Xenopus tropicalis: one gene and its partners. The protein of the gene in region 2 purifies or fractionates together with the protein of the main gene of each other region. This does not show direct contact. Links are inferred from orthologs where the notes say so. Each region holds a gene or a part of one and is shown on either strand. Other genes may lie near its edges.

The links.
Region 1: the proteins of numa1 (region 2) and epb41l3 purify together in Homo sapiens (affinity purification with mass spectrometry; 3 studies listed by BioGRID and IntAct, with this or other methods). This does not show direct contact. The link is inferred for Xenopus tropicalis from reciprocal best matches to the Homo sapiens genes NUMA1 and EPB41L3.
Region 3: the proteins of numa1 (region 2) and ezh2 purify together in Homo sapiens (affinity purification with mass spectrometry; 3 studies listed by BioGRID and IntAct, with this or other methods). This does not show direct contact. The link is inferred for Xenopus tropicalis from reciprocal best matches to the Homo sapiens genes NUMA1 and EZH2.

The regions. Positions count from the first base shown.
Region 1 is NC_030682.2:106,405,439-106,409,739, reverse strand, and holds part of epb41l3 (band 4.1-like protein 3), read right to left. Parts: intron 4,127-4,301; coding exon 4,025-4,126; intron 3,616-4,024; coding exon 2,896-3,615; intron 1,607-2,895; coding exon 1,484-1,606; intron 1-1,483. UniProt on the Homo sapiens protein: Tumor suppressor that inhibits cell proliferation and promotes apoptosis. Modulates the activity of protein arginine N-methyltransferases, including PRMT3 and PRMT5.
Region 2 is NC_030678.2:178,875,907-178,880,207, reverse strand, and holds part of numa1 (nuclear mitotic apparatus protein 1), read right to left. Parts: intron 3,274-4,301; coding exon 3,018-3,273; intron 2,603-3,017; coding exon 2,326-2,602; intron 2,173-2,325; coding exon 2,036-2,172; intron 1,587-2,035; coding exon 1,359-1,586; intron 1,268-1,358; coding exon 1,163-1,267; intron 806-1,162; coding exon 557-805; intron 194-556; coding exon 170-193; intron 1-169. UniProt on the Homo sapiens protein: Microtubule (MT)-binding protein that plays a role in the formation and maintenance of the spindle poles and the alignement and the segregation of chromosomes during mitotic cell division.
Region 3 is NC_030682.2:55,145,167-55,149,467, forward strand, and holds part of ezh2 (histone-lysine N-methyltransferase EZH2), read left to right. Parts: intron 1-2,516; coding exon 2,517-2,637; intron 2,638-4,301. UniProt on the Homo sapiens protein: Polycomb group (PcG) protein. Catalytic subunit of the PRC2/EED-EZH2 complex, which methylates 'Lys-9' (H3K9me) and 'Lys-27' (H3K27me) of histone H3, leading to transcriptional repression of the affected target gene.

The DNA of each region.
Region 1 (4,301 bases), on a different chromosome or scaffold from region 2:
AACCTTCATTGCAGTGTAACTCTGTAATGTTTAACCCCACTACCATTTTCTATAATCCAGTTTTGTCCAGATCATGTTTCCAAGCAACCATTTTTTTTTTTTTTAAAATAGTTTTTGGGTTTTGTTTCTGTTTTTTTTTCTTTTTAATCATTCTTATCTCTTCCACTCTTTGGCTTTATTCTATTATGGATATACAGGTATGGGACCCATTATCCAGAATGCTCGGGACCTGGGGTTTTCCAGATAAGGGGTCTTTCTGTAATTTGGATCTCCTACCTAAAGTCTGCTAAAAACATTATTTAAACAGTAATTAAACCCAATAGGATTGTTTTCCCCCTAATAAGGATAAATTATATCTTAGTTGGGATTGAGTACAAGGTACTGTTTTATTACTACAGAGAAAAAGGAAATTTTTAAAAATGTGGATTATTTGATTAAAATGGAGTCTATGGGAAATGGCCTTTCCGTAATTCGGAACTTTCTGGATAATGGGTTTCCGGATAAGGGGTCCGATACCTGTACCAGTATGGTGTAAATAGGTGCTGTCCAACTTGTTTTATATTATGTAGTGGGCAAATTATTTTAGAGAAGTCTATGAAGCCTTCAAGCAGACTGGGGGCCATAAGAATTCTTTGGAGGGCCACCAGCTGGACAGCCTTGTTGTAAATAACAGAGACCCTAAGAAAGAGAGAATAAGTGACTTATTCTCTGTTTTACAGATAGCTGAAATGAATTAATGTAAAGAAGCAGAAAGTAGAGCAATTCTACTTACTAACACACATATAATTTACTCAGTGAACACTGTATTTTGACAGCACATATAAAACCTATTACAGTTATACTATTAATTTAACGTAATCACTGTCCTCATAAAATGAAGCCTATAATTTATCATAACTGCATTAAAAATGACCGCTATGTCTGGGTATTTGTTTAGTATGCCTCACACAGGATCTATGATTATTCTAATTCCATTATACGTTATTAGTATTAGTACTATTCAGCAAAGTCCTATAAAGCTCAAGCTACATAAGAGATAACACCAGACATGGAGGAAAGATCACAAATGTTAGAGTTTTTAAAATAATTTTGTCTAAAATTGTAATGGCACAGTAAATAGCACAGTTCTGGGCATTTTGTCACATCAGTCTTTGTTACTGAGTGACAATCACCAGACGTACGAGTGCCCCTGTGAGTACAGCAGATTGCCATTGAAATGAATGGGGAGAAATTTAAAGAGTTTTGTTGCCCGTGCAGTGATAAACTGCCCGAAATCGTGCCACTGCCCTTAGGTATAGCATCACACATTCATAAAATCACAAATTTAACAGTTTCCAGCTCTAGGAATAGATTACTGGCCATGTAAACATTGAGCATTAATAAAACAGTTGATGAAACTGACGGGGCCCTCCTGTAATGCAAAACACATCATGAAGAACACATTGAGAAAAACAACTCATAAGCTTATACAATCGGCAGCCACCTGAGCCCAGGATTGTGAAGTAGATGTAACCTCTCCTAGGAACTCAGATGGCTTTCTTGTAGATTCTAATAAACTGTAGATATCAGAACCCTCCAAGGTTTTTTCACCAGATGATTGTTTGGTCTAAACAGACAAAGAAATGAAATGTCAAACAGGGACAACAAAGAAAGACATATGAAAACACAGAAGAGAAAGTCAGAGAGAGGGATTGTGGGTAGCCAGTAGAGAATATTAAAGATCGGGATAGTCTCGGAAAGGATTTATGAGAGTGTGCATTACGGGGAGACAGGGTGGCGGAGGAGTAAAAACAAAACAAGAAGAATGGCATACAGCGGCACAAGACACACTTTCACATTAGTTAGAGTACAACACAAGACAAAAATAGATAAGGGAAAGAAGCCATCAAAGTCATGGACACAGCAGAAAAAGGAAAATAAAACTAGTGCACATCTGGTAGGCCTGTAAGAAAAGCTGTAAAGCAGAGGGCCCTATTCAACAACCTAAAATAAAATAAGAAATTAGTTTGACATACAACAAAATCTGTAGAGAAATAATGGCACCAAACAACATACAGTGTGGTCCTCATTGACTGAAAGGGAAGATTCTTTGGAAGCAAGACTTTAACATTATAAAGATGCCTGCTGGTTTCATTGTAAAGTTGATTAGATTGTCCAGGTTTGAGAAACTGACATTTTGTTTGGGTAATCAGTAACACCAAATAATATGTTATAAAAAATGGCACAGTCAGGTACAGGATTGTTTTGTGCAAAACTGTCACCATTACCCAAATGGATCAAAATTTACCTCCAAAATGACCTTATAACTTGTCACATCTGTACCATACTGGAACGTTATTCCTATAGGACACAGGTCAAACAGACAAATTCTTGGCTGTGGAAGATCAATGAGGACAGAACTGTATACTTTGCCTTACAAGTTTGAGTATGTCAGATATAATGTAAAGTAAAATTTTCAAATTAACCACAAAAATTCCAGTTTGCCTAATGTGGGGGTCCTCTTAGTGTTTCAAAACATGCCTTTTTGGAGGATTGTGTACATTAAGATTGTTAAAGGTCTCAAAACCAACAGCTGCTGACTGGCTCTAATCGTAATAGAGAGGTGCTTCTAAGAACTTGTTGAATAGGGCCCGAGGTTGTTAGATCTGGGAAACTGCTAGCCGTTACCAAGTAAATATATGCATTTGAGTGACTTTTGTTGTGTTAAGGGATTCAAGCCTCACATTGCCCGCTGTGGTTGCAATGCTAATAAAAATGAAAAATCATAAATATAAGTTGGCTGTCAAAGGAATGCCAAGCAGCAAGTGAACAAAAGGGTATTGTGAAGCTGGGATATGTCTGGTATTCATGCGTTTACTCTTCAAAATGGGGCATATAGTCATCGGTGCATGTTACCACCACTTTGGATGCAGATGACTCGGTAACATAATGAGCAGTGGCAATGGTAAATGGCTGATCTCGTGTGTATCGCCACTCGGACAGCTTCTTATCTTTCCAAGACGGGACATCTGCTTTAATAACATCATAATCTTGAAACTGCTCAGCCTTCCCAAAAATCACACTTTCAATCAAATTCTTCTCCGTATCTTTATCTTGCACTTTCTTCAGAGTCTCTTCTACTGGACTAGCCAGCTGGGAGTCTGACTCTTTGATGGGTGTCAGTGTTTCTGACATTCTTCTCTTTACAGGTGGCCCTTCTGGAACTTTTCTTCCCTTGTCATCACTAATCGGCTCCAGGATCTCATAGTCCCCTGTACCAGGAGCAATTTTTATAGTTTCAGCTATATCCTTCTCCAGCTTTTGAATTATTTCAAATGAAGATGGTGTTTTTTCTTTATCCCCTTCTTTTGCTTTACTTGTCATAGTTACTACTTTTCCAGACACGGTATCATAAGACCTTCCTAATGTATACATTTTCAGTTTGCTATCCTCTTCTTTGGACTTCAGTTCCATTTTCAGCGCATCCAAGCTCTGACCTCCCAGTGGGCTGGTTTTAAACGTTCCAGCTGGCATGTCACTGCTCACTGTTGTCACTTTGTAAGTCACAATGGTTTTTGTTTCACCATCAACTACCTTAGTAGGCACTTTGTCTATAATAACCCAATCCTCTGTGCCCTACATGTGAGATATAAAAGCTAAATTAGAATACCTGCAAATGTAAGTTGCGCATTACTAAAAGAACATCCCTCATTTAAATGTTACTATACATAAGGGATGCCAAAATGAAGACCACCCAGCTATTGTGATCTATACCTCCCAGTACCCACAGCAACACTGCAATGAGTCCACCATGCCTGCTTAACTTTCCATAAGAAGATATAAACAAATTAGGTCAGGACTTAACCAAAATGTATATTATCCATGCAAGTCTAGATTAAGAATGAGTACATTGTAAATATATAACTTTAAGCAGTTATTTTTATTTTATTTATTTACAATGTACTCATTCTAAGTAAATGAAATATCTGTTTTATATTTATTCATGGTGGGGGATTTTATCTAGATTAAATGAATAAAGAGTAACCTCTGGGGATGTCGGGATAGTTTTCTGCATAATGATTTGCTGAGAAGTAGCCACAGGGCTGGTGGCTCTTGCCTCCCGCAGTTTCTTCACTATGTCCCCTGGCTAATGAAAGAAACCATAAAAAAAGAGAATGCATTCAGAGATGCATTGGTGAGTGAGCTGGGAGATTTTGGAAAATACATTATATGAAAATTTAATTCAAATGAATTGAACAATGCATTGGATCAAAGACTATAATAACTGTTATACCACTAAATTACTGACATGTACTATGTGG
Region 2 (4,301 bases):
AGGAGAACCCACTAAAAAGGACACCCCAAGAAGCAAAGAGGAGAACAGGAAGGGCAGAAATATCAGGACAGGGAACAAATCCACCCTACAGATGTACGAGACTGCAGGACAGACAGCAATGCACCTGTGCAGCTACCCCTCCCCGGCCACACCCACAGGCAACACCTACCTGTATCTGCAGCTCCTGCCCCACCTGAGAGGGATCAGAGAACATTATTGGTACCTGAAAGCAAATTGTGCCCCACAATACTGCCCTGTGTCATCACATTCAGGGGCAAAGATCAGACAACTGCCGATACACCGCACTGACTGCTTCCCCAGATATTAAAGGGTAACTATACACCTGGCTGACATGATCTCATTCAGTAGGATTATATATCTGTATACCGACGGCTCCATCGACAGGCACAGCATTATGGCCTGTGTGGGGCTACACGGAGAGGATATTGGGCAAAAATACATATTTTTACATTTCCGTGCCAGTATCGACTCAGTGTAGCTCCGCCCAGGCTGAGGAGCACATGACAGCAGATCTACCCCCCATCCCGATACCGACCTTGGTTGAAGCTTTGGGGGACTTTGCAGTGGAGGCCCTCGGAGACCGCCTGCTGGGTGACTTCCGGAGAGAGCGGTGCGGGGATTTGCCTGAAGTGCTGCCGGCGCTGCCACTTGCCCCCCGCCCCCGGGGGCTATTTTTGGGAGTCGTTTTCTTGTTGAGGCCTCTCTTCAGGAGGCTGTTGCCCAGCTTTCTGGGGGTGTTGAAAATGCTAAATGCTGTAGACTGACGGCGAGTGGGCTGCGCCTGCTGAAACGGGAGCAAAAGACTGTGTGAAATTCATATGAACATACCGCTTTATGGCACTGCAGTATTATTGGTACAAACAGTGACAAACCCCTAACTTCATCCGTTGCTGCCCTGATTTCATTGGTTTATAGGGACAGTGGCGCTGCCCTGATTTCATTGGTTTATAGGGACAGTGGCGCTGCCCTGATTTCATTGGTTTATAGGGACAGTGGCGCTGCCCTGATTTCATTGGTTTATAGGGACAGTGGCGCTGCCCTCCATCCCTGGGAACGTGAGAGCAATGGCCTGTCCCCTGGGACTCAGCGCACACAAGATGGTGTATAATGGTTGGTAAATGCATGAGAATTAGCAGCTCACCTGATGGCTGGAGTTTCCTTTGCTTTCCACAGTGGACAATCTGCGTGCGTCGTGTTTATCCTTTGGGGTCATGGGCCGAGGAAAGCAAGTGGCAGACTTCTTGGCCTGTAAGTAATACGGAAAGTTAGTTCTATAGAGCAGCAGAGCCACTAGCCCTTTAGCCCAAGTACAAACATGGAATGGCAAAGCTGCTCACTTCTGGGGTGTCTGGGCCAAGGTGAGACTCCTCGGACACGCGCTTCATCTGCTGCCTGGTGCTGATGCTGGGTCCCCTCATATGTTCAGAGGCAGCCAAGCTCATTCTGCGGGTACTGCCTGTGGACTCTTGTATCTGGGAGGGCAGCATGGTGGCTCTCCTGAGCGTCTCTTTAGGGTCTCCCAACTTGACCTCTTCATCGGTAATGGTGGAGCTTAAGAGTGACGGCTGAAAATGGATTGTGTGTTTTAGTTTAACAATTAACTTGATAAATTGCCCTAAAAACTCTTGCGACACACAGTGCTGATCCAAGCAATCAAGTCTCGCACTCCCATTGGTATTAAAGGTCCCCATACACTGGCAGATCTGCTTCCTTGCCGATCTTCTCCCGATACCCCCACCTACAGGATTTACGACGGGCATAGGTAAAGATTTTCTAGCCTGCCCGATCGAGATCTGGCCGATTTCAGGACAGATATCAGTCGGGCAGGCCCATCGGAAGTGCCCATACACGGGCCGATTAGCTGCCGAATTGGTCTAAGGGACCCATATCGGCAGCTAGAATCGGCCCGTGTATGGGGGGGCCTTAACCCTAGGGATGCTCTACCCCTACCCAAAGACAGCAGCCGTGCAGCTAAAGATATGCCCAGTACTTGTGCAATAGAACAGATACGCACCCTGGACTCCAGTGGGTAGGAAGTCTTGAGGTGGGGTGGGCAGGCCTTGTTCCGGGCCTGCAACTCAGCGATCCGGTTCCAGTCTTCCTGTGGGTCTGGCTCATCCTGGCACGTGCTCATGTAGAAACTGCTTCGGCCTGAAAGGAACAACATGGGGCTGAGGCTGCGGGGTTGTTATCACACACAGGGTGCAGGTATGGGGGAAGCATACAGAGCTGTTGGAGTGAGTTCTGTAAGGGGGCTATAGAGAACAGACTACACATCAGGCACGTAAGGGAACAGGCAACTACCTCCAGTTTGTGAAAGCCTTGCAGATCTACGCGTGGGGGGTCGGTAACCAGGTAAATTCATCAATACGGAGTTATTAAAGCTGTCATCAGAGAACTGTTCTGTCTTGGCCAGGGATTCCTGGGATGGGAGGCTGGCCAGGGCTGGGGCAGAAACCGCTGCCTGAGGACGCCCAGGCCTCCGGGGCTTCTGCTGGTGGAGACTCTGATAGGACGGAGCGGAGCGCAGGCTGTAGAATGACGTGTTGGCACTCTCTGCTTCCGGTTCCTCCTTTGTCTTCTGAAATGAAACCATAATGCAAATTTAATGGACACCCTACTCAAGACATGAATTCTTTCCCAATAACATTAGGAGAAATATCAATGTAAGAACCCTCGGCACTGACCAATATCTCCATCTGGGGGAACACAAGAAGCAGTGACCTGAGCAATGATTGGTTTGAGGTATGGAATCTCCAATATGGCAGCCAGTATGTTTGAAACTAATCCAGTTCTCAGTGAGGGCTGTTCCTAGGGCTCCCAGACCAAATGGAGATGGCTCGGCCCCCAGGATGTGGCATTGGACATAAGCTACAAAGTGCCACTATCTCCCATGCTGACTGTCACCATGGTGACTTCTGGGCCCCACATTGGCAACTGCTCTGCTCCCTGACTCAAAGCCCCCGATTCCCCCCACGCCGACACTTTCTCCTTACCTTGGTCATTGTGATGTTAATGATCTGGGTGGTGCGTCTCCTTGCAGACCGCGTTTTCTTGCTGGAGTCTAGGGACAGGTCCCCAATGGAACCAAGGCTACTTTCCAGTTTGGACTGTGCCCGGGTTGGAATAGGTGTGAAGTAGAGGCTTTCCAGAGACTCCACCTTTTTGGGCAGTTGGCCTGTGGTAGGAGACTCCATGCTGCTGGCATGTACTGACGATGTGGCAGGTTCCTCGTTGCAGCGGCCATTCTTACTGTGATAAATAAAATGCATATATTAGGGTACATTTCTGGTGGGTCAGGGACACACACAGCATTTGTTTTTGAAAATTGATCAGCTTTTCATGTCTAAAATGCATCTCTGCTCAAATGAACTTATGTTCTATCCTTGCTTTAACGGCAGATTTGGGTGTGCAGAAAGATGAGCTATTGCTCCAATGCTTTACTGCCCCCTAGCTGCAAGACTCAGCCAGCCAAGTGTCTTGTACATATTCCTATTTGTTTATTTGGCTACTATATAATGTCAGTATCTGCTGCACTGCATACAAAACAGTACAGACAGGAGGAACCAGCATTACATAAATATAGTCACAATAAATGCCACATTCAGAGAGACATATGAAGCTGTAGCCAGGCCCGGACTGACAAGCTGTGGGTTCTGGCAAATGCCATAAGGGCTGCTGTAAGATGCCAGACACTCACTATTATTGGGCCTCTGTGTACATTAAATGACGGGGCCCATTATGAATCCCAGTCCGGACCTGGCTGCAGGTTTCTGCCCTGTACAGCTTACAATCCGACTGCCTTTATCACATTAGTAAAGTAGCAGTGCTGCAGGTCTCGAGTAATAGAATAATAGGGAGGGAGGACTGCTATTAGCAGTTACACAGGGCCCGAGGGGCCATCCAGGACTACTGGAAAGAAGGCAAAGTAGGGAAGCATAAAGGGTTCCCCAGAAGCTAACACCCCAGGGTGTGCTCGGAGCAGAAGCTACATCTGAAGGGACCGGGTGCATCACTAGATGGTGTAAATTTTAATGAATAAGATTTACTTTCACGCTGGCACATATCTCCCTGTTTCTCTTAGTCAAGGAATAAGCAATCTTCCTTAGCAAAGAGTTAGCGCAGGACTGAACCAAACTGAAAGTAATGCCCTGGGGCAGAACATCTCAGCTGGCACATTTATCTGCTCACACACAGGAGTTCCTTTAAGCGAATGGAGAGACGGGAGAAGTGAAAGCTACCCATGGGTACAAGGTACCTGTTACACAGAATAATAGCCT
Region 3 (4,301 bases), on a different chromosome or scaffold from region 2:
ACAGTCAGACAAGTTTTACAGTGCGGAAGCACAGAGGGTAACCATTAATGTTTGCATAACTTCCTTTTTATTGTCTACTCAGCAGAGTAGTAACGTAATCATTTTTGTTGGGTGTGGAGAAGTGTCATCATTTGTTCCATGAGTTCTGCAGTAGTTCAGAAATTTCTACTAGCAAAAGTTGACACTGTTCTTTAACAGAATATAGTGTTAATAAAAACATTGTTTATTCTCCCACCCCTTTCTCATTTATTATAAATATGTATAATATTATGATATGATTTCAAACCATTATTTGCTTAATCATATTTGATATAAATTGAAAAAAGTTCCAGACTCGATTGGAACCCTAAAGATTTAGATTTTGAGTCTGAATCCTGTAAAAAGTGCTTGCATTTGGACAAGTCCATGAATTCTGGTTGTCCTTACATTTATCCAGTTCCATACATTCTTCATTTTCCTGTGGTTTTTTTTTTTTTTGCTTTCCCATTATGGCAGCTATTGTTGGTTTCACTTGTTTTTTCTTTCTGCTTCCTTAGTGCAGTTCTTTAAAATAATTTCATGTCTTTAGTTTTCCTACTATCTTTGGCACCTGTCTTGTGTTTTTCACTTTGGTAGTTATCTGGTATGGTCTTAAAGGAACAGTAACACCAAAAAATTAAAGAGCTTTAAAGTAATAAAAATATAATGCACTGTTGCCCTGCACTGGTAAAACTGGTGTGTTTGCTACTGTAACACTACTATAATTTATATAATAAGCTGCTGTTTAGCCACGGGGGCAGCCATTCAAGCTGGAAAAAAGGAGAAAAGGCACAGGTTACATAGCAGATAACAGATAAGTTCTGTAGAATACAATAGTGTTTTATCTGTTATCTGCTATGTGCCTGTGCCTTTTCTCCTTTGAATGGCTGCCTCCATGGCTACATAGCAGCTTATTTATATAAACTATAGTAGACTTTCTGAAGTAAACACACAACTTTTACCAGTGCAGGGCAGCAGCACATTATATTTTAGTTACTTTTATACACTTTCATTTTTTGGTGTTGCTGTTCCTTTAAATTTTATGAAACCCTTGTGCCTTTCATTTTTGCTATCACATGCCTTTTTCTTTTGGTATCATTGTGGATGCACCAAACCCTAAATTTTGGCCAAATCATTGGGTATGTAATGGGCCGAATACCAAACTGAATCCAAACCCCAGAAGTGGAAATCGCTGAAACTGCAGGTGTTATTGCAGGTGCACTCACAAAATATTTTTTCAAAACATAAGGTTAGGATTTGTTTTATCCAGGCTCTTGTATTCGCTTAAATTCTGCTAAAAATGGCTTAGATTAGGCCGAATTCCAAACCAGATATGGGATTTTGTGCATCCCCAGTTTAGAATGTGTTTTTTTTTAGAAAAGATAGTACAGGTATCGGACCCATTATCCAGAAAGTTCTGAATTACGGAAAAGCCATCTCCCATAAACTCCATTTTAATGAATAATTCACATTTTTAAAAATGGTTTCCTTTTTCTCTGTAATAATAAAACAGTACCTTGTACTTGATCCCAGCTAAGATATAATTAATCCTTATTGGAACCAAAACAATCCTATTGGGTTTATTGCTGTTTAAATTTTTTTTTTAATTAGACTTAAGGTAGGAGATCTGAATTACAGAAAGACCCCTTATCCGAAATACCCCAGGTCCTGAGCATTCTGGATAATGGGTCCCATACCTGTGATAGTATTACTTGCGTGTACCAGAATGGTGGGAAGTTACACATGATTTGACTGTTAACTAATGGTTTTACTCAATATATCGGGGCATTATCTTTTCACCTCACTCATAAAGTGTTTAGTGTAGTTTCACTTGCTTCATCAATTTAGTATGTTATGCCATGGGATCTTTAATCAGTCAATTTCTGCTACTACTGAAACAGTAGATTCTCAGAGCCTTCCCATATGGAATCCATTAACAGTGTATTGTTTAACGGGTCTATAGGGAAAAGTTCTCTATAAATATCCATGACACATTTTATCAGGAGAAAGAGAAAATGCAGATTTAATTAAGAAAGGCTAAAATAAACCAGGCTGCTGTAATGTTCACATATGTATATGAAAACATTTCTTACAGGAAATTCATGGCTCTATAGACTGTGTTTATTTTTAGCCTCTAGATCAGCAGATACAAACTTTAAGGGTACTAACACGTAAGGGTAAATCTACAATACCATGGATGACAGAAGCTCATGAACTATGTCTTTCTCATACCAAGCCTTCAGATTGCAGCAATTAAAACACATTTCTTGCAGAAATCTGACTTATCCCATGAAAAAAGAGAAGTTGGATCACTTTGAGTAATGTGGTTTGTGTACAGCAATGCAAAGGTTAGGCAAGGAGGTTTGTCACCTGTAGTAATGCAGATTTACCTCAAGCTGCCAATTTCCTTGTGTGCCAGTATCTCTAGGTACAAGTCCCTTGGTCTGCAATGTATTTACCTGTGTTAAGCAGAATAAAGAATATTACCTTCTATTCAGGTGGAAGATGAAACTGTTCTGCATAATATTCCATATATGGGTGATGAGGTTTTGGACCAAGATGGGACATTTATTGAAGAACTCATTAAAAACTATGATGGAAAAGTTCATGGAGATAGGGGTAAGTTCTTTTATTCTTAAGCAGGGAAATATACCATAATGCAAAACCTGAACTGCCCCAGCACTCCTTTGCATTGTGCATTCTAGCTTCTGAAGAAGTGTAGGTTTAAAGCCTGTGTTCTAAAGAATGTTTCCACATGTCCAGATGAGACTTTCGGCAGGGTTATGCAGAATTGACAGCTGTATTTGTAGGCAATTACACTGCATTTCCACAGTCACTATTTGTATCCTAGTGAAACACAACAATAAAGTTGTTTATAGACTGGGCTGGGGATAAGGATATTATTCTGAGATTAGATGGATGGCTTATTCTGACTGAGTCTCTTCAATGGAAATCACATAAAGGTAATCATGATATATTTATCCATGTTGTGCATCCACATCATGAAGTGGGTAGGTTATATAATTTTATAATTTCCTTGCCATTCTCCCAGAAGCTGTCCCGTTAACTAAGCAACCTAATGTTTTGCTCTAGCCTTTTGAAAACACAAGCTGTGCATAAAAGGCAATTTGTCCTAATGATTTAAACTTTAAGTTTTCCCTGAAAATGAAAATTTAGTGCTAGGTGTTCCTATGGGAGCGTAGGGAAATTGTACCATAGGAAGAGTTGTACCTACTATCAGACAATATCTGAACATCTCATACATAGACAATCAAGATATCCATTCCAGGATAATAAACAAAAAAAGGATAAAGGATGGATGTGGTTCCCTGCCTGGATAGGATGAGAAAATAGTCAATAGATTAAAAAAAGTATGCTAGTATAAGGGATGGTATAATAAATGAAACTATAAGTTCCATCAAAATAATAAATGAGGAATTGGTCTAAGCCAGGAAGATGCCATTATGGAATAGAACGGTCCTAGATTACCTACTAGTAGATGAGGGTGGAGTTTGTGCAATCACAGGTAAGGAGAGTTGTACCTGGATTGGGGACTTGCATGACCCAATTGAGCCCTACAGAACAGTTTCTCATTTATGGGAATCATAAGGACTTGGTTATCAAATGTTTAAAAGTTTTTATGGTACTGAATGTGTGGGATTGCAATGGGCCTTGTGTTATATATTATAGCAAGGTTGTGTTGTTGCAAATACAGTATTTCAGAGGTTACATGGAGGGGCAGCTGAAGGGAGGGTGCTCACCCATTTAGCTCCTGGATCAAATATACAACAGCCCTCTTCTGATCAGCAACCTTTTGTGTTTGGCCGACCTTATCCATAGCAGGATCCCATTCCTGTATGAACAGGGTAATGAAGAACTTGCTGATTTAGATGGGAACCATGATAGGCAACTCTGTACTGCCACTGAACCTTTTATAGGTGAGCGGAATAGAGTTCTGGGTAAGAAGAATATATATGTTCAAGATTTGAACAAAAGGGAGGAATGTTAGAGAAAAAAAGAAACCATCTTGTTTCTTTTCTCCATCTTGTTCATATCATTTAATATTAGAGGGGTTGTGAAATACATTGTGTAAGGATGTTTCTTTTTGCTGTTGTAAAAACATTTATGATGAGTCCGCAAACTTGTGAAAAGAGGCATATTGGGTGTGTTGGTCAACTGGGCCTCTTTGCCTGTTCTGTTCTTAGAGATAACAAAGCTAACTACTGATAAGAGTGTTTCAGGACTATAAGACAAACATGCTTTGGGACATTCAGAGTAGTATC